2 linked regions of the Astyanax mexicanus genome follow. The protein of the gene in region 2 binds, or shares a complex with, the protein of the main gene of each other region. Links are inferred from orthologs where the notes say so. Each region holds a gene or a part of one and is shown on either strand. Other genes may lie near its edges.

Region 1 (8,943 bases), on a different chromosome or scaffold from region 2:
TTGACAGATAAATCACACACTCCTATCACTGAGAACAGCCACAACCGATCAACTTTTGAAGAAAAGAGTGCAGAGATCCAAATTACACCTGAATACATCAACAGCCAAGATTTGTTCATCACACAGAAGTTCTTCTCTGAGCTGCATGAAGACATCTCCAGAAGCCCCAGCACTGATGAGGGTGTTGCTGTTCCACCATACCAGAACAACATAAAGTACAGACAAGCATCACAGGAGACCCCATCATGCAAGCAGACGGCTGAAGCTTCTGTTCAAACTGAAAACTTCTTCACTTCTCCGGGGCTTGCTGGCTCTCTCAGGTTTCATCATAAGAGCAGAGCATCCATATGTACTGAAGAACCGATAGACTTGAGCCTACCCAAAAGAACCAGGCAAGAAGTGCACCTAGATCAGTGCATCAGTAAACCAGTGGAACATCAGAGTTGTTCAGAGCTAAAGATAACAGATCTGACTTCAAGTGATGAGAGTGACATTCCTTTAAAGAGCAGAGCAGACCTATCTCATTTGAAGGTGATTCAGACACGGCTCAATGAGTCCTTCTTCTTCAGGGTGAAGGGAGAAGGAGAATCGCCAAAGGCAAGGTCACCTTTGATGATGTTGACTGGAAGTGCTGATAAGAAGCTAAAGAAGTGAACCTGATTTATGAAAAGAATTATAGTGAAAGCATCTGGAACTGTTTGTTAGGATTAGCAATACAGGTTCTTTTTGTTCTCTTTAGTGTGTTCACTGTATAATATATATGCACACATACATTTATCGTTGCTGTGGTGCATTTTTTTTTGTTGCTGTTTTTCACTTTTTGACATAATTTAAACCTGGCCGTTATTTACATTGTGGCACATTTTCACAAATATTGGACAAATAAAATGCTCCAAAATGTCTTTGAATAAAACCTTTTTTTTACATTTAATTGAGTTAAAAGTTAAGCCAGTGTATTTTCCTCTTCCTGTCATGTTGACAATTTTGTACAAGAGAAAGTTTTAAATTACTACAAAAGCATTTATAAGTGTTTATCTAAGCAGTAAATCTGTTTTGTTTGTAAAAGCTTTGAACCATACAACATTGAGAAATGCAAAAATTTACAGTAGAATTTGAGAAGAATGGCTCATTAGTTGTAGTGATTGGAATATGGTTCCTGATTATGGACATGGAGGTTTCATTAAATGAAGCATTTGTTATATCAGGCATTGATTTTTTTCAAGGAGTGCTTTGTACTTTCGATGTGTTTACTGCTCAGATAAATAGCTTTTGCATGTATATTTTAGGGGTGCAATTATATTAAAAAAATCATTATTGCAGGGTAACTTTAAACATTTATCAGCATCACACAGGTTTAATAAATATTTGAGCAAAATATTTAGGGCACATACAAGAATTTGTCTATATGTAATGCTACATTTTTGGGATTAAGTGATGTGTTAATCATTCAACATTCTGACCTCACTATTGCATATTACTGAATTGCAAATAAACACCTATAGTAATGCTTCAAACTTTAGTACAAAGACCTTCATGGATAGTTGAGCCAGTTCCTCTTAAAAATAATAATAATTATAAAAACGTTTAACACCATTGATTATGGAAGAAACAATAAAAGAACAGGCGGTTATTTCTGTTATATAGCGTGTTTGTGTGTCTAGGCACGGGCTGAATTAAACCGTTACAAACATCTGAAATAAATGAATTGGGATTAATACAATGAATAGTGGTAAAATATAGTCATATGTTTATTTATTTTGTAACCCATCTAGTCAATCACAAACACAAAGTTTTAACGTTCTTAAAAATACAAATTTAAATCACTTATGTCTGCATAGAATTTTATTTACCCTTCTGATTAAACAAACATTCTAATTGTGTCTAAACAGCTTGATTCCCATCCATTTCCACAGATGAAAGAACACGTACACAGGAATAGTGACCGGCAACAAGAGACTATAGAAACACACACTGTTTGAGCCGGTACAGCCCTGGGGGAAATTTTCATCCACACTTGCAGAATACATTAGTCCAATTAAGGACAAAATTGGTACTATCACAGTGACAGTTGACAGAGAAAATAGCATTATGGCTTAGATGTTTACTGCAAATGTAATATAATAAACAACTGCACTCGGCTTATGCTGTAGTTCCACCTATGACTGGGTGGGCTCTTCAATTCCCTCAGCCTTCTTGATCAGCTTTGCATCTTGAGGAATCATGTTAGGAATACCATCAATAATAGGATAGGCAATGCCAAGCTCTTCATTGATTAATTCATTTGTTTCTTTGTTGTACCTAAAAAAGAAAAATGAAAACAATTGTTTATAATAAATACTTTTATTAAAAATAATAAAACATTACACTATGCAAGAATTCTACAATGTAATACAGTTGCAGAGAACAATAAAAAGAATAACTGTAATAGTGATTTTTCTCCATTTCTAATTTCTTAATACACCTTAACCAGACAGTTCAGCAGTCTTTAGGACGTAGGTACCTGGATCAGGTTTGTTCCAAATTGACTGAAAGGAAGATCGCCTGAATTCATTGAATAGGTCTCATGTGTCTTGTATAATGCGGTATAATCAAACATAAAGTAGTAGTAGTACAGCAGTAGTAGTACAGCAGTAGTAGTACAGCAGCAGTGCAGCAGTAGTAGGTAGTATGCAACAGTAGTACACGAGGACGGAGTTAGCGTCTTATTTGCCAGTGTCTTATTCGGATTTTCCGGTCCACCTTAAAAAGTCGAAATGCCAATGATTCGTCAGTAGAGAGCAAGATTGGGCTCATAAATTAGAATAAATAGCCTGTTCTGCATTTATGTTTGAATGTAAATGAACTAGTATACTGTGAAAAGCCTAAAGAACTAGAAATATTACTGTACCATTATTTATTATGACCCTCTGAACTTGGCATTTGTGAAGATTAAAGGACAATAAATTGCCTGTTCTGCATATTTGTAGCTGCCCTAACTCCAGATTATCAAAGAATCTATTGAATTTGACACCAAATTATGAAAATAAAACTAGTATACAGTGAAAAGCTTAAAGAAGTAGACATATTACTGTACAATATTTGTTTATTATGACCCTTTAATCTTGGCATTTGAGAAGATTAAAGGACAATAAATTGCCTGTTCTGCATATATCTATCTGCCTTAACTCCAGATTATCAGAGTCTATTGAAGTTGACACCAAATTATGAAAATAGAACTACTATACTGTAGAGCTGGGCGATATGGGAAAAAATCTTATCACGATATAGTTTTCCATATCAGTCGATATCGATATGTATCACGATATAAATCAAATCACTTTGTGTCACACTTAAAGGTTTGTTTTTATTAGTGAGAGAATAAGGGAGTGATGGAAGTTTTATCACAATATTTTTTTCTGTATCTCCATAATTATTAGGGCTGGCCCGAATAGCATTTTTTGAGCTCCGGATATTTGGCAGTAATTGGTAGCGAATATTCCAATATTAGTTTTTAAAAAAAACAAATTAATCATGAACGCGAGCCAGAACCCGAGCTTGAACGTCAGCCTGACTCAGGCGCTGCATGAACTCGGGCTTTTTTCCAATTTTTTCCAATTTTCCATGACTGAAAAAAAAACTTGGGCTATAAGCTCAATATTAAATATTTCGTTTGTTTAGAAATTATTTTATATTCTTAAACCATGTTAAATTATATTAGATTAGTAGGGCTGGCCCGAATAGCGTTTTTTGAGCTCAGAATATTGGGCACTGATTGGCAGCCAATATTGGAATATTTGTTTTTAAAAAGACGGATTAAAAACTGATTAAAGTAAAACAAAAATTGCAACTCGGCCCCTTTAATTCACCACAAAGTTTTCCAAGACCCAGCCGGAAAAAAAAAGATTTCCCACCTTTTCCTCAGCTGGGTCGGGCTCAAAAAATGATTTGTGATAGGCTGTTTTTTGGTTTGTTTGTTTAAGCACTTAGGCTTTTGTACTGCTGCAGTGCAATATTTAGATTTTATATTCTGAAATTCGTTAGGTTTTATTTCTTTTAGCATTTTGAACTTTTTTTCCAATTTCAAATTTATTTTTTTCTGTTCGTTATGTTCTATCGGTCCTTGCGTTTTTTGTAGTTGAAGTTGAATTTAATATTGAAGTTCAATATTTCTAATTTATATTTTGAAATTCGTTAGATTATATTTATTATTGTATTTTGAGCTCACTTTAGTTGGTTATTTTCCAAATTCATATCTATTTTTCTGTTATTATTAAATGTTATTAGCTTATTAGCTTAGCTTGTCATTTAGCATACAGAACTTCTCACGGATTTTTAATGAATGTTGATTTATTAATTTAAAAGCTGTACCTTATTAAAAGTATTTTAAGCCAGACAGACACTGTGTGATTTTTTAATGAGTTTATCTGCACTTTTAAATGGTTTGTCCTGTAGGAAACGCACACGATTTGTATGCTGACACTGTTGTCTGACTGAGGAGCTGCTTTCCGTCAAATGCAGCCTGTAGGCAGGAAAAAATCCAGCCAGAACCGACCATATCATGAGCCAGTTTTAAAGCCAGTAATTTAGTAGAGCATTAAACTACAAATCTGAGATGTACCTGCTGTACTTCTTAATCTCTGCCCCCAAAACGGTCCATTAACTTGCTTGACAGACGCGTCAAATCCCCCGCGAGCACGCGCGGCGCACAGCGCACCGATTAATTCATGCGTTGAGCTTTAAACGCGCAGCTGAGCTGTAATTGGGGAAATATCACAAAAATCACAGTGTGATTTGTTACATTAAAAAAAAGACCATTTTCTTCCGCCTAATCTGAGAGGAAAGCGGTGTTCTCGACCGGCCCGAGTTCATGCAGCGCCTGAGTCAGGCTGGCGTTCAAGCTCGGGTTCGGGCTCGCGTTCAGGCAGATAATCTAAATGATAAATGATTTTGTGTTTTTGCACTTGGGCCATAAGCTCAATATTAAAAAGTTCGTTTGTTTAGAAATTATTTTATATCCTTAAACCATGTTAAATTATATTAGATTAGAGGAAAGTCATTTAGACATCATTCTTAAGGTGTTTTTGTCCTGTTACCGCTCCGCAAAAAAACCTCTTCCTTTAATCCGCGCCCCACATACACATTTTTGCAGCACCTGCCCCGAGGTCCTAATATAAATTGAATTAATTACATTTAGTGCTTAAAATTTACTTAAAATTTATTTAAAACGTGCTGAACAGTGCGGCCGTTTATTCCCAAAGTCCAAACACTATGGTTGTTTGCGTGTGTCGGGCCATACTCCACTATTCTTTAGGGTTTTTTGTTGCATGCATGAGAATAACTATTACAATTTTCTTAACTATTTATTAATTTGCTCCAGCGTCTTCTGGATTGATTACACGTTGTGTTTTCGTTGTTTGCCGCGCCACTTAGACGGAAATGGAAATGAATGTTTATCGAATTCTATTGCACAGGCTTATCATCGTCATCGAGGGAAAAATTATCGCGAAACAAATCGATATCGTTATATCGCCCAGCACTACTATACTGTGAATAGCCTAAACAACAATGTATATTACTGTACCATTTTTATTATGACCCTCTGAACTTGGCATTTAATACAATTTTGAAGTAGAATAAATTGCCTGTACTACATATTTCTAGTTGTTTTTACTCCACATTATCAGTCTGTTGAAATTTATGCTTATTTCCCACCTCTATATAACATTATTTCATGCGCGTGTGTGCCATATTTAAATTCTTGCCTGTTACAAAACTGGTAGTATTGTTTTTCAGTGACCATCTGAATATAAGAAATCTGTTATAATTGCACTTTACTGAATCATGACGCATGACGTTTTGATAACTTAAAAATTTAATAGAAATTGCATTATAAGTTTATCATTGAAATATTTCATTCCGACACATAACTGTAAAACAATTTACACATGCACACAAGTAGTCTGCAAAGCATGTACAATAGAAAAAAAATAATTTATTGAAATCAGTCATCATAGTACATACTTCTTTTATTTTTTCCTTACTTACTTTTTGAATAAAAGCCCTTTTGATATCACTACCCCTCTAATGCCCACATGGGTCAAAAATTACCCACCTTCAATTTTTTATGGAACTTCATGTATAGCTGAGTGTTTCTTTAGCACAAATTTTCTTTTTCTTTTCTTTTTTATTTTATGAAGAAGCTTTTGTATTTCTACATCAGTTTTACACATATTGGTCAGACATGACCCACATTTACTATTTCACAGCTCAGCACAGATCTACTTTCACAACTCAGTACCATCTTACAGTAACATTTTCTTAAAAATATGTGATGCCTATAGTAAAAGATAACTGAACATAATATTAAATAGGTTTAGATTACCTAAATAGTGAGTACATTACCTGTTAGTAAGTTATAAGTCATTATTTTTAGCTATTAGCTGTTCATATTCTATTTTAGTTATTTAAATCTAATGTAGTTAGTTAACTGTTGAAGTAGCTTGGTTACATACATTGGTAGGCCATTTAGCTACAGGGTATTTTTGTGATGATGATATTAGGCCTGTCGCGATAACTATGTTATCGACTTATCGTACGAGAATTTTTTTATCGCGATCATTTTGCCGACGTCGATAAGAGCCGCGCGTGTCCGAGGGGATTTGTTTAAGTTACATGAGAGAGCGAGTCCCGCTGCTCTCTGGCCGGCTCTCGCCGGATCCGTCAGACAGCGACATCTATCGGTTAGGAACTGAGTGCTCGCAGAGTTTATGCAGCAGTGAGAGTGAGCCGTGACTGTCCTGCTACACACACACACACACACACACACACACACACACACACACACACACACACACACACACACACACAGCGAGGAGAGTGTGTGTGTAGATGTGTTAGATAGCGAACGTATTCGAGGCTAATTGGACTTTCTTAAAACTAAACGGCTTTAGAGAACGTTTGAGGAAGTTTAGTCCGGGATGGGCTGTGTTTTAAAACCGAATTCCACGGCTCCGGTGCGGGAGTATTTTGGCTTTAAGCCAAATGAGCGAGGAGAACCATCAGCGCGAATCAGCCGGTATGTTTACAAGGTTTCACAACAGTGGAAACAAAAGGGGGCAATATTACTAACATGAGATCTTATTTAAAGCACAACCATCCAGCCCAATTCATCCAACTGAATGTTTAATATAAAAAATTGTTCCTCCTGTTGTTGTTGCTCTGAATTAGTCTGACAGTTACATTAAAAAATATATTTATAGCAAAAGTTCTGGCCTGCTGAGCTATCTGTGTGTCTCTGATCATATGGACTAAGCTAATGTGTGTTTTACAGCATATACATATATCATGAAAAAATGATTCTGCAAGTGCCCATGTGTTTAGAGTTTTAAAAAAATAATTAATGTAAATGTTACTTTAATCTATTTGTTGTTACTTTATTTTTTGAATTAGGGTCTGTTTAATATTTAGTGCAGTTTTTCAGAACCCAGGGTGGGTGTACTTTATTTGTTTTAGTTATTTAAGATATTAAAATATTTTTATATTGGGAGCCCAATGTCTGCTCTTAATAATATAAAGTTAGTTTAACTGTAAAATGGTGTAATAATATTATGCTAGTATATTATTAGTGTGGCACATTGTCTAAAATTACCTTTGAGAGCCCAGAAGCAGGAAAAAGAATTTTCTATAGTGGCGCTTTAAAATTATAATATTATTGTTTATCGTAATAATTTCTGGGACAATATACCATCCTGAAAATTTTGTTAACGTGGCCTATTGGGGACAGTAACTGAAAAATGTAATTTACTTAAAGAATAAACTCCTTAAACAAAATAAATAGTTTAATATAGTACAATATTTTATAGTTCAATAGTTTCAAATATTCAGTAGACACATACAAGTGTAAACATTTGTAGAGTTTAAAAATAAATAACAGTAAATTATGACATTATAATTTAATAACAATAATAATAACAATAATAATAATAATAATAATAATAATAATAATAAATATAGGCCGTTTTAATGAGGAAAACAATAACAAAGCTACTGCGCATGTCTGTTCCTTCGACGCTTCCGGTGGCGCTATTTTCAAGTATACAGCTCTCAAAATGAGAGCGCATATTTTGCAAGAAATAAATAAATGAATAAATAAATAAATGTTGACATAAATAAATGCACATATAAATGAATAAATACATATATAAATAAGAAATGTATTTATTAATTAATTTACCTATACAATTATTTGTGCACGTATTTATTTATTTATTTGTGCATTTATTTATTTATTTATTAATTTCAACATTAATTTATTTATTCTTTTATGTATTTATATATCTATACATTTATATGTATATTTATTTATACTTATGTAATTTTTGGTCCTCCATAGTTTACTTGTTTAAAGAACAATTTGACCTGATTTTCAATGTTTGTGACTCTCAGATTAGGTGAAGTTTGCATTCATACGTCCACTGTTTTGAACGCTGTTTACCGCTAAATGGAAGTGTCCTAGGAACAGCTACGTCACTTCGTACGCTCATAAATATTCCTCTGAAATGGTCTATAGCCGCAAGTGGCAATTGACGGTCCAAGCACGGTCACATAGTTTAACAAGTCTAAAAAAATCTTGAGAATAGGCCTTATGGTTCAGAAGTTATGGATCCAAATGTGTCACAGGAATTTCCCAACTATATAACAACCTATTTATAAACCATTAAAGCACATAATTTAAGCAACGCAATGTCTAAAAGTCAACAAAATTCATGTACTGTTTCACACTATGTCATTAGGGCTTTTAATAACTGACCTGCCTTAGCATAGTGATAGCACTTGCTAGCGATTAGAATTGGCTAGTCATAAACACTGGTTAGCGATTAGCATTATGCCGAATTATGCAGAACAGGCAATTTATTCTCCTTTAATCTTCTCAAATGCCAAGTTCAAGGGGTCATAATAAAAACA
Region 2 (11,113 bases):
TCCTGTAGCATTGTTCTCTACAGCACAGAACATGAGCTAGGAGAGCCAGAGCTAAACTCTAAATAAAAAAAAAAAAGAAAAGAAAAAAAACTTACTTGGAGTCCAGGAAGCCCATGTCCACCGCCCAGGCAGTGGTGTCGTGATTGTCTTGCTGCCGGAACAGAATGTGCCACCAGAACACAGAGATGTGCATCATGTGTCCAACAGCCTCCCTCACCTCCAGCTTTATTCTAGCCCAACGCTCATACAGGACGTCTACATTCATCACAAAAAAACATGAATACATGAATATACAGCATAATAAATCACCAACTTCACTCTTTAACTGGCTACTAAACCCCCTGACTTTCGCTGACTTCACCCTCAGCTCAAATGTGAAAAAGGCTTTAAAAAAAATAGGAGGAGTAGTTTGGGAGGGGCACTGGGTGATGTATGGGTTTAGAGGTAAGGCATGAGAGGGCCCTGCAGAAGCAGAAATTACCACAATAAAATAATTGTTTAAAGCTTAGGAAATGTTTATAATAATTCTATGCAGGACTGGTACGTTTTATTAGTTTAAAAGGAACAAATTTTAGCTATTAATGAAAAAAAATGGTTTAGGGTTAAGTAGCTCTTTGTGCAGTAGGACACGTTGGTTCTTTAACTTTAACTGCATAAAGTACTAATCGTCCCTGTCACACAAAAACCCTGTATCTCAAAAATGGAAACTGTACAGGTATCTTATACCTTATACAAGATGATTTAAAAAAAAAAAAAAAAACACTTCTTGACTTTGTGTTGTTGTAAGGATTTTAGATGTTTTCGCAACCCTCCACCACCCCCTCTCTTGTTCCTTTTTTATTCCATCTCTCCTTCCTCACTCTACTTAAAGGAGAAGGAGGGCTTGCTTCCTACGACAAGCTGAAGCTGTCCAAACTTCAGTCCAAAGTTCTCTGAGTTCCCCTCTTCTCATCTTTCTGTTCTCACATAGCCATAAGATAATAGCATGTTTTAAACAAACAAAATGGAAATAAAAGTTATGTAAAATGATTTGAATCAAGCCAATTTTGCTGCATTTCCATTTTTCCAATTGTTTTTACAAAATGCGAAGAATTCAAAGAATAAGTAGCTGATTTTAATCATAACAAAAGTAAAAATGGCAAAAACAGTATTTTAAGACAGTAATTTATTACATATACATTAAAACAGGAGGGAATAATCTTACCAGGTGGTTCCATGTGAATGTATGGAAAGGTGTTCTGGTAAATCTATAAGGAAAAAATAAATAATCAGAAATTAGCTAGAGAAGACAATTTTCTTTTGGCATCTTTGATAGCTCAGACACATTTAATTTTACACTGACATTTCACTTCCTTCTTCAAACTTCCTGTGGTTGTATAATAAGTTCTTCCTTAAATTAGAACCAAAATGTACGTACCATACTAACTATTACTTACATTGATTTATTCATAACAGAAATTGTGTAATGTTTATACAATTATATAAATGCCTTTGTTGCCTGTTTTATATCTCATCTCATTATATCATATCTCATCATACAAACTTTGTGTTTGTATACTGTGATGTTACAGTAAAAATATATGTTTGTTCAAAAAATATATATGTAATCTGGTCTGCGTCTTCGCACTTACAATTTTGGTCTTGTGTCGGACCACATCAGGACCGTCCTCAATATCTGAATCGTCAGACTCCAACATTGTGGGCAGAAGCCTAAAACACACAGAAGATGCAGAGTTTACAAGAAAGTCAGACTTTATCTCTGATTGGGAACATTTTGGGAATGAGCACAAAGTTCATGGAAGAGTGAACAGATGCTCTCTCAGAGGTTCTTACCTTAACCTGGCCAACATAATCGACACAAAAAACAGATTCTAAGTGTGGAACTTAACTTAACTGTTCGGCCTGCTAAGCTAAGCCAGCCAGCTAAAGTAACTCCCTGTGATATGTTTTAAATATCTAGAGGTGGGTAACACAGGTACAGGAAGTTAAAAATTCATCCGAGCTCTGCAGCTCTTGTGCTCTGCTCTGCTGGGACACAACACTAGAAATTGATTTTTAATCTCTATGCCTGGGTTACTCACCTCTAAAAATATCAATAATATTATTATTAGCAATAAAATTCAAATTGTAGATGTTTAAAAAGCTATATTTTATAGATTTAGTAGAAATACACTTTTTTACTAGTCTCTTCAACATTATAGATTAGGACCCAGGGACTTATTGGTGAAGCTCAGCATAGTCACCCAGACCTGGAATTGAACCCCAGTCTCCTACAAAATGTGGTAGCTCACAAACAGGAGGTGGTGTTATCCACTGCGCTACACCAACGGTTTACAGATGTGTACCTGAGCTTTACTAGGCAGAATTACAGTGGAGATATGTGGAATTATTTTCTTCTTTTTTTTTTTTTTTTTTTTTAATTTTATTTCAAAATTTTCCCATTTTCCCCTCAATTTACACTGCCATTTACCCAACCCACTCATTAGGACTCCCCCTATCACTAGTAATGCCCCAACACACCAGGAGGGTGAAGACTAATACATGCTTCCTCCGATACATGTGAAGTCAGCCACCGCTTCTTTTCGAGCTGCTGCTGATGCATCTTTGCAGAGTAGCATCACAGCGCGCTCGGAGGAAAGCGGAGCGACTCGGTTCTGATACATCATCTCACAGACGCCCTGTGCTGTGGACATCACCCTAGAAGAGATGTGAGGAGAGATGTGGGGTTCGAACCTGCGACCTCCCGCTCATAGTGACAGCGCTTTAGACCGCTGGACCACTCGGCGCCTGGCAATTATTTTCTAATAGTAAAAACAATATATATATAATTATTCTTAGCGTTAGTGTGGCATTAAAGAGTTAACACATGCAGTTAATATGAAAACTTATTTTGTTTGTAAACTTAATTTGTTTTAATGCTAATTAATCATGTGACAAAATTGACAGCCCCCAGTGACACATTAGCAGTTTTATTAGCAATATATCACAGCAACGCTCACTGTTGAGTTCAGAAGGTAAATTATCTTTTATTTATGATGAACACACACACACACACACAGCTGATGGCACGTTTCCTCTTTTCAAGCTGTTGAAAGTGGAATATGGAGCTACACTAGCGTTTATTTTATCCATTAAATCTTTCAGTTAAACTCTAACTCAGAAAATCACAATATTTTAGTTTAAAAAGCATTAAAGCTACACTGAAATATAACAATACAGTAAAAAAAGTAAAACAAAATATAGCTAACTACCAGCATTTATAAACATGTAATCATGATTTTATTCATCATTTACTCACAGAATGACACCCATAATAAAAATGTAGGTGTTTCTAACTGATTATTTTGTTCACATTTAAATACACATTATCAAAAGTTTAGTCTTGAGGAAGAAAAAGTGTGATTAATCATGATTAATGACAGAATTATATCGTGATTCTTTTTATTAACTGTTTTAATCAACTGACACTAGTAAAATATAATTATAAATAGCTAAGAGAGCAAAAATCATCTATGTAAATCAGTGGTAACACGTGAATAGTCAAACATTTGTTAACCTAAATTAGTGAAGTAAACAGCTAAGCTAGTTAATTTAACTAAAGTACTTTCGTTACACAGTGTAAAGTTACTTGTACTCAGATGTAATGACTATAAAGGCCTCTTGACTTGACTTGTTAGAAAACTAACTAGCTAACCTAGCTACATTAAGAATTTGTTGTCCTAATAATACGACTACTTTAAACAGATTTAGCTGAAAAATTATGTTATATAGTAATTATTTTAGAGCTAATATCCGAAATAAGTGTTTCTACTAGTAAATCTGCGTTAGAATGAGTTTCTATCTATTAACTTTAGCCTGAGTAACAGGCAGCTACTTATGTCGTATTTTTGTTGTTCTTCTGTAAAATTCGAGAGGTTCATATCAGAAAAAAACATATAGTTAGCGTTAGATTAGAAACATAAGCTTCCTTACCCACAACTACAGCAGTCCAGATGTGAATGTCTGTAGAAGTAAAGAGCTTCAGTTAGCGTTAGCAGACTACGCTAAGCTAAGCTAAGCTAAGCTAACGGCTGCTGTACTGTACTGTACTGTCTGTTAGTGAGGTAGGTCAGTTCACAAAGGAGGTTTACCAGCGGAAGGTCTACGTTAGACCAAAACTTAAGATCGGGCACTAGAAATAAACCTGCCTCACTTCTTAACATTAGATTAGATGCACAACCTACCCCATATCATTCTGCTCTTAGATATCATAATTCACAAACGTAGTGTAGTTAACTTACTTAAACTAAGCTAGCTAACCAGCTCTCTCTGGTGTTTTGTCGATTTATGCAACCGTGTCAGAACGTGTTAACCATAGGGTATGAAACATATCATTTAAAATATTTAGGTTAAGGCTAAAGGAATCATATCAAAAACAATGTTCAAGCAGAAGTTACTAGCTGTAGAAAAAAATATTCACTTAGATGGCCTAACGTTAAATCACTTTATTATTTAAATTTGAGACACTTTATATACTTTTATCAAATAATCAAATGATATCAAAATAATGACAACAAATTCAAATTGTATAGCTTATGCGCGTAATCCGAGTAAAACAGAATCATCCTTAAAAAAGCGCATTAAAATTAATTATATAAAATATTTTACATACACACAAAAAAATATCTGACCGCACATGCGCAGTACAGTCTACTCGCACATGTTGACGGGTAGCAAATTTCGACATACCACCGACCCACAAGCTTTTAGCCCTACGGTCCACCCGACAGCCGCGATCCCGCGTTTTTATCCTCGGTAAGTTTGGAAAGTCACAGCAGCTGCACACAGCCGTGTAAAACAATACTCCCGCCACAATTTTCACCATGAAATAAGTCAGATATTCAACAAACCTGTCCATAAGTTACGGTCTCCTGGGTGGGGGAAGATTTCCTGAAACATAGAGCCACGAACTCCTACCTCAGACTATAGCAGCTCCGCCGAGACAGCCCGCAGTGTAAACAGGAGACACTGCCCTCTGCCGCTTATTTCACACACAAAGGACAATAAAAACCCTGTCAAATATATAAATGACTCGGCCCTTATTATTTAAAAGTATTGTATTAGTCTGTTTTATGAGAAACACAATGATTTTCTATTTAAAACACTGCAACTGCTTTTATTTTGTTTTACTAGAATTGATAGGACAGTCACAGTCTGATGAGTACAGCACTGGGAAAAATAAGAGACCTCTCAAAAGTATGAGTTTCTTTAATTTTCCCAAATTAAAAACCTCTGGAATATAATCAAGAGGAAGACAGAGGATCCATCAAGCCATCAAACCAAGCTGAACTGCTTGAATTTTTGTACCAGGAGTGGCATAAAGCTATCCAAAAGCAATGTGTACGACTGGTGGAGAAGAACATGCCAAGATGCATAAAAACTGTAATTAAAGGTTATTCCACCAAATATTGATTTATAAACTCCTAATGTTTCATGAATATGAACTTGTTTTCTTTGCATTACTTGAGCTGTGAAAGCTCTGCATCTTTTTTGCTACTTCAGGCTTTTCTTAGTTTCTGCAAATAAATGTTTTAAATGACAATATTTTTATTTGGAATTTGGGAGAAATGTTGGACGTAGTTTATAGAATAAAACAAAAACGTTCATTTTACTCGAACATATACCTATAAATAGCAAAATCAGAGAAACTGATTCAGAAATTGAAGTGGTCTCTTAAGGTTTTTAAGAGCTGTATATGCAGCGTGGTTCTGCTCCAAACCTAAAGATGGCAGTAGTTAACTAGCCTGTAGTGGAGGGCCCGTGCTCCACGACTGTAGAAAGGGTATATCTGAAACCGCACACTCTAGTGCACTTCTTTAAGTGCACTAAGAGGTTCACTGCTGTGGTATTTTAGAGTCTTATATATAGTAGACTTCACTGTGTGGTATCTGGATGTACCCTGTGTACTGTAGCTAGCTTTAAAAGGGAAGAGGTTTGTTTTAAGAGGTGGTTTTACACATATTTAAATCCAGTTAATTTAAGACATATTAAAAATTAATTTAGACACGTTTAACGCTCGCTAGCTAAAGTTTATTTTTATCTGTTGTTTTTGTGGTGAAATTTCAGCCATGCTAACCAGCTAGCTGTAGCTTTAGCTACCTAACTCATTTAGGGCAGTGCTGTGTTCTGCTGTATTAGCTTGGTTAGCTAGCTTAGCTAAGTTAACAACGTTAGGTTATATAGTTAGCTATATATCACATTAGTCACTATAATCATGGTAGAAAACTCTCCATCTCCGGTGCCTGAGAGAGCTATTTATGGGTTTGTGCTGTTCCTGGGATCACAGTTTGGCTTTTGTAAGTGTCACTTCTTAATGAAACTAATGATACTTCTCTTCATCTTCATTTTACTAGTGTTAGCTAGCTGCAGTACCTCACATAGTTAGCTAAGGGAGTATCACCCTACACAAAAATATTTTATTATAACTGTTCATGTGACAACACTAAAGATATGACACTTTGATACAATATAAAAGAGCCAGTGTACAGCTTGTATAAAAGTGCAGTGTAAATTTGCTGTGCCCTCAGAATAACTCAACACACAGCCATTAATGTCTAAACAGCTGGTAACAAGAGTAAGTATTACAATTGGCCAAATTGTTCCCAAAGTGTCACTATTTTGTGTGGACATTATTTTCCTGCACTGTCCTAACTCTTTTGGGCATGGAGTTTACCACAGCTCCATTTGAGGATGCCCCACAGATGCTCAATAGGGTTTAGGTCTGGAGCCATTCAGCTTCAGTTTCCTCAGCAAAGCGGTGGTGGTCATTTTGGAGGTGTGTTAGGGGTTGTTTTTTTGTTGTTGTTATAAACTGCCATGCAGCCCAGTTCCTGGAGGTTGGAGGGTCAATGCTTTCCTAGCTGGCCACCAACATCAATAGAAATTTTAGGTTAAATGTTGGTCATAACGTCAGATGACAAACATTTTACGCCAGGATAAAATCTACTACTGTTACGTCCCTTTAGGGTTATAATATCACAGTACACGTTGCAATTGTCAAAGTGTCATATCTTCATTATTTTCCCTTGTAAAGGTAAAAAATATATATACAAAAATGTAAGAGGTGCACTCACGTTTATGAGATACTGTATGTATTTTAAGGGTATTAAAAGTAAACAGTTAAAATGCACAGTGTTGAAATGTACGGCAAGTAGGTTGTTTTAGCCTAAAATTACATAATTTTAGTAATCAAAACTCATTTCAGATATCAGCTTTACAATATTAACCAATAATATCAAATCTAAAGATCTATAAAGCGCTGACTCTTCATATTACCAGGAGGATATGTATATAAAATAAAATGTTTGTGGGTTGATTTACCTTGGGTTTACATGCAATCTAACATTATTGATAAGAACTGTTTGTACTGTCAGAAATTATAGCAGAGGTGGGTAATTAATTTTCCCAAAAGGCAGTTTTGTGTGTGTGTGTCTGTGTGTGTGTGTGTGTGTGTGTGTGTGTGTTCAAAAATACAAGACAATGTAACAATAAAAAAATATAGATCAACAAAAAAAATTGCCTCAAAAAAGTTGTAATTATATGGTTTGGATAAGGTGTTACTGATAAGAATAGATACTACAGTTAAGCAGAAAAAATGTGAAGCAGTGAAGTCCGGTTCAATTTCTGAGGTGGATATATGAAGTGCCAGGTATTGAAAGCCAAAAGGCTGGATGTGACCATTTTGTATATTGTATTGTATATTTAATTACAGTTTTTACTTGAACAAAAGTTAATTATAGTTAAGATAGTGTTAAATCCCATGCAAATCCCATATAACTAGTCAAAGTTATATTGACTGTATGTGAATCTAAATATGATATTACTGGTACAAAATAAGTCAGGACTTTTGTTATTGCTGGTGTAATTGTGGGCTATAATGCTTTCCTTGCCATATAAATGTTCATTAATAATAAAGCCAACTAATGTGTTCATGTTGTTTTCTCACAGTGCTGTATTTAGTATGGGCGTATGTTCCTGAGTCCTGGCTCCACTCTATTGGATTGACGTACTGGCCTCAGAAGTATGTGAATCATGTCCTTAGATAGTCTGGATTTATGTTTTTTTTTTTATATATAAAATTTATTTAAGATCAGGAAGGTTCATAGAAGGTCTCCTCTGAACTGTTCAGTGCTTTGCTCTCAGCCATCCTTGGATATTTTTAGCTGTGTGTTTTGGGTCATTATACTGTTAAAGAACTCACCTTTTAAGCAATATCTTCTGCAACATAGACATTATTTAAGTTACTCTTAAATTAGGCATTATGCATCAAAGAGACTTTGTTTTCAGCTAATAAACTTTTTTGACAATTTATATGCTCGCTTTTGTAAATTGGAACTGAATGTCAAAATTACAAAATGATTAATAAGGGACACTGATTTGTCTGCAGGTACTGGGCTCTTGCTATTCCGATCTACCTGTTGGTTGCTTTAGCAGTGTGTTTCGTGCTGCTGTTTGGAGTCAATATGATGAACACTGCTCCTCTGTGTTCTGTGAACAACATCACAGGTATGAGGTTGGGTTTCTCCACAGCTGTAATAATATTAGAAGTGGCAACCGGGGTCTTCTTTCTAGAGGCCCTCAAAGTTTCTGAAAACTTTGAATTTTTTATGTTTTTTAAACACAAGTTAATCATATTAGTTTTATAAAGCATGGTGATGTTTAAGCATATTGGCTATATTTAGAATTGTAAACAGCATCACTACATCACTAGTTCAGAAGGTAGATGGGTTACTTTCTGTTTATGCTGAAATATGCATTCAATCTTATAACTAACTCTTACTGCATCTCTCTCTCTCTCACACACACACACACACACACACACAAACACACAATTTCTCTCTCTCAAGAGCATGCTCTCGCTCTTGTGCTCTCTCTAAAACACATCCATGTGCGCACTTACAGGCCTGCTGCCCTCCTCTCTTAAAGCTCTTTTTTTACTTTTACTCAGCACAATCATTTGTTCTAGTTTAAAAGCATCAGCTGAGATATTACAATCATTTGTTGGAAAAACACACCACAATAAATATAAAAAATACACACAAATACATGAAAATACTAGCATTTTAATGTATAATGTTATGTAATTTTATATCTATGACATTTATGTATATAATATACATACAATTCAGCTTTCCCAATTTTACCATTATTGTTATAGTAGATATTTATATAGATACAAATATCTACTATTCTGTTGATCAGTCATTACTTTTAATATGTGGAAATGATGAGAATAGCCTGCTCTTGGTTAGACCAAATGTTGGCCTGTCGGTGCTCACCATGGTTTGCAGCACCTTTCACATTTACTTTATTCATTTAGAAAGTAAAAAAGTGCAGACAAACAATGTATATACAGAGAAGTGATATAGTGATTCAGAGAAACTGGAGAAGAACTGAAAACTGAATGATCTACTTCTAGCCAGTTCAAAACTAAATGCTGCTCTCATGTAAATGTTATGTAAAATATAGAAGCTCATGCAAAACTTTACACACACCAGGTCAGATGTCCCATGCGGTTTATTTCTTAGTAGAAAATAGAATTAGAGAATTGATCCCTTCAGAAAATTGTTGCCGTAGGTTCTGTATCTGCCAACCTTTAATCTCCCTAAATAGTAATTTTATATTAAAGTTGGACATGTATATTCTCTACCGAAAATTACTATTTGTTTTAACTTAAATAAAATTTAGAATTACAGTGACATTAGTTTGTATTTATTTTTTATTATTTTTAATGCTGTAAAGTTATACTGGTAACTCTAGTCTCTCTGTAGGTTATAATTATGTATATCTGCATTGGCATTGCATAGTTAGAAAGGTAAATGTGTACAATCTAATATCGGCCCAGAATTCCTACATCTGTGCATCCCTAAAAACAATAACTTTACTTATTAATAAATGTCCTTATTAAAGGATTATGGAGAAGTCATGGAAGTTGGTGGCATAAAATATTTAAAATTCATAAAATTAAAAACAGAAACATTTTTTAATAGATAACTTAATATTGTCTATTTTGTTATTTATTGATTAATTTATTTTGATTCTTCTGTAGATCGCTATGCTAAGAGTCAGCGTGGGGTGTCTTCTCAGGAAGAAGCTATTCCCCGACTGCGGGACGTACCCATCAGTGAAGTCAACCGTCGCTTCTATCTCTCACAACATGAACTCCAGGACCCTAGAACCTGAGTGCATTCTGACATGATGCCTCGTGTCCCCAAATTTCTGATCTGCATTGATCCATACAGACGGCCAGCATCCAGTATCGGTTGTCGTCAGCCCAGGCCTCTGGAGTTTGCTGAGGTTTTAGATGCACCTTTTCCATCACTCACTCATGACAGGACAGGCATTTGACTCTAGGATGAACCCTGGAGGTTCTGATGGTGTGCTAATCACATGACCTCCAGAGAGGACCCCCAGAGACTGCTGTGCTGAAAAACCTGCGTCAGGTAGATGGGCTGCTTTCATGGAGAAGTAAAAGTGATTGCTCACAAAAGCCGCTCAGGATCTTTTTGTCTGGTTTTGCAGCTTTGAAAGTGGCTGGTTTCTTGTTTTTTTTTTGTTTTTTTAATAAATGCTAAATAAATGCTAAAATATCAAATGATGTAATTGTTTTGCTGCTGAATCTGTTATTTATTCTTGTATTGTGTCAAAACTAGAAATGCTCCAATTAAAAAAAACAGCACAGTACATGCTTTTTTCTTTTTGAATCACAAATACCATTTTTTTAGATTTCCACATTCTATTCTGTTAAATAAATACTGCTTTGTTTAGGTTCTATATTTTTGACTCATATAGTACACTATATAGGGAGTAGTAAGTTAAGATTAAAACTCTTCCTCAACATGTGTTTTCTTCCTTTTTTTTCCCCCTTTTTTTTTTATAATATTCTAATTTTCTTCTTTGGCTAAATTCATACATAAAGAGATGTACAAAAGAACAATGCTGCATGTGAAGTTTTGGTTTCATCTTCTATAGCATCACAGGGGCTATCAAGGGGTTTCAGTAGCTGACTGCTCGGCTCATCCCTGAGAATAAATTCTAGCTCACTATATAAGCCTATACTTTAATTTTTGGCATA

The links.
Region 1: phosphatidylinositol N-acetylglucosaminyltransferase subunit P (region 2) and zgc:162634 share a complex: the UniProt entries of both Homo sapiens proteins name them as parts of the glycosylphosphatidylinositol-N-acetylglucosaminyltransferase (GPI-GnT) complex. The link is inferred for Astyanax mexicanus from reciprocal best matches to the Homo sapiens genes PIGP and PIGY.

Annotation. Positions count from the first base shown.
Region 1 is NC_064417.1:17,142,599-17,151,541, reverse strand, and holds zgc:162634 (phosphatidylinositol N-acetylglucosaminyltransferase subunit Y), read right to left. Parts: upstream 2,238-8,943; 5' UTR 2,088-2,237; coding exon 1,872-2,087; 3' UTR 1,725-1,871; downstream 1-1,724. Other genes in the region: uncharacterized protein si:ch211-176l24.4, read left to right, coding at 1-654. UniProt on the Homo sapiens protein: Part of the glycosylphosphatidylinositol-N-acetylglucosaminyltransferase (GPI-GnT) complex that catalyzes the transfer of N-acetylglucosamine from UDP-N-acetylglucosamine to phosphatidylinositol and participates in the first step of GPI biosynthesis.
Region 2 is NC_064427.1:35,145,905-35,157,017, reverse strand, and holds phosphatidylinositol N-acetylglucosaminyltransferase subunit P, read left to right. Parts: upstream 1-5,931; 5' UTR 5,932-6,253; coding exon 6,254-6,335; intron 6,336-7,986; coding exon 7,987-8,059; intron 8,060-8,425; coding exon 8,426-8,544; intron 8,545-10,087; coding exon 10,088-10,221; 3' UTR 10,222-10,722; downstream 10,723-11,113. Other genes in the region: E3 ubiquitin-protein ligase TTC3, read right to left, coding at 96-255, 1,205-1,247, 1,632-1,710, 3,973-4,002, 4,890-4,897. UniProt on the Homo sapiens protein: Part of the glycosylphosphatidylinositol-N-acetylglucosaminyltransferase (GPI-GnT) complex that catalyzes the transfer of N-acetylglucosamine from UDP-N-acetylglucosamine to phosphatidylinositol and participates in the first step of GPI biosynthesis.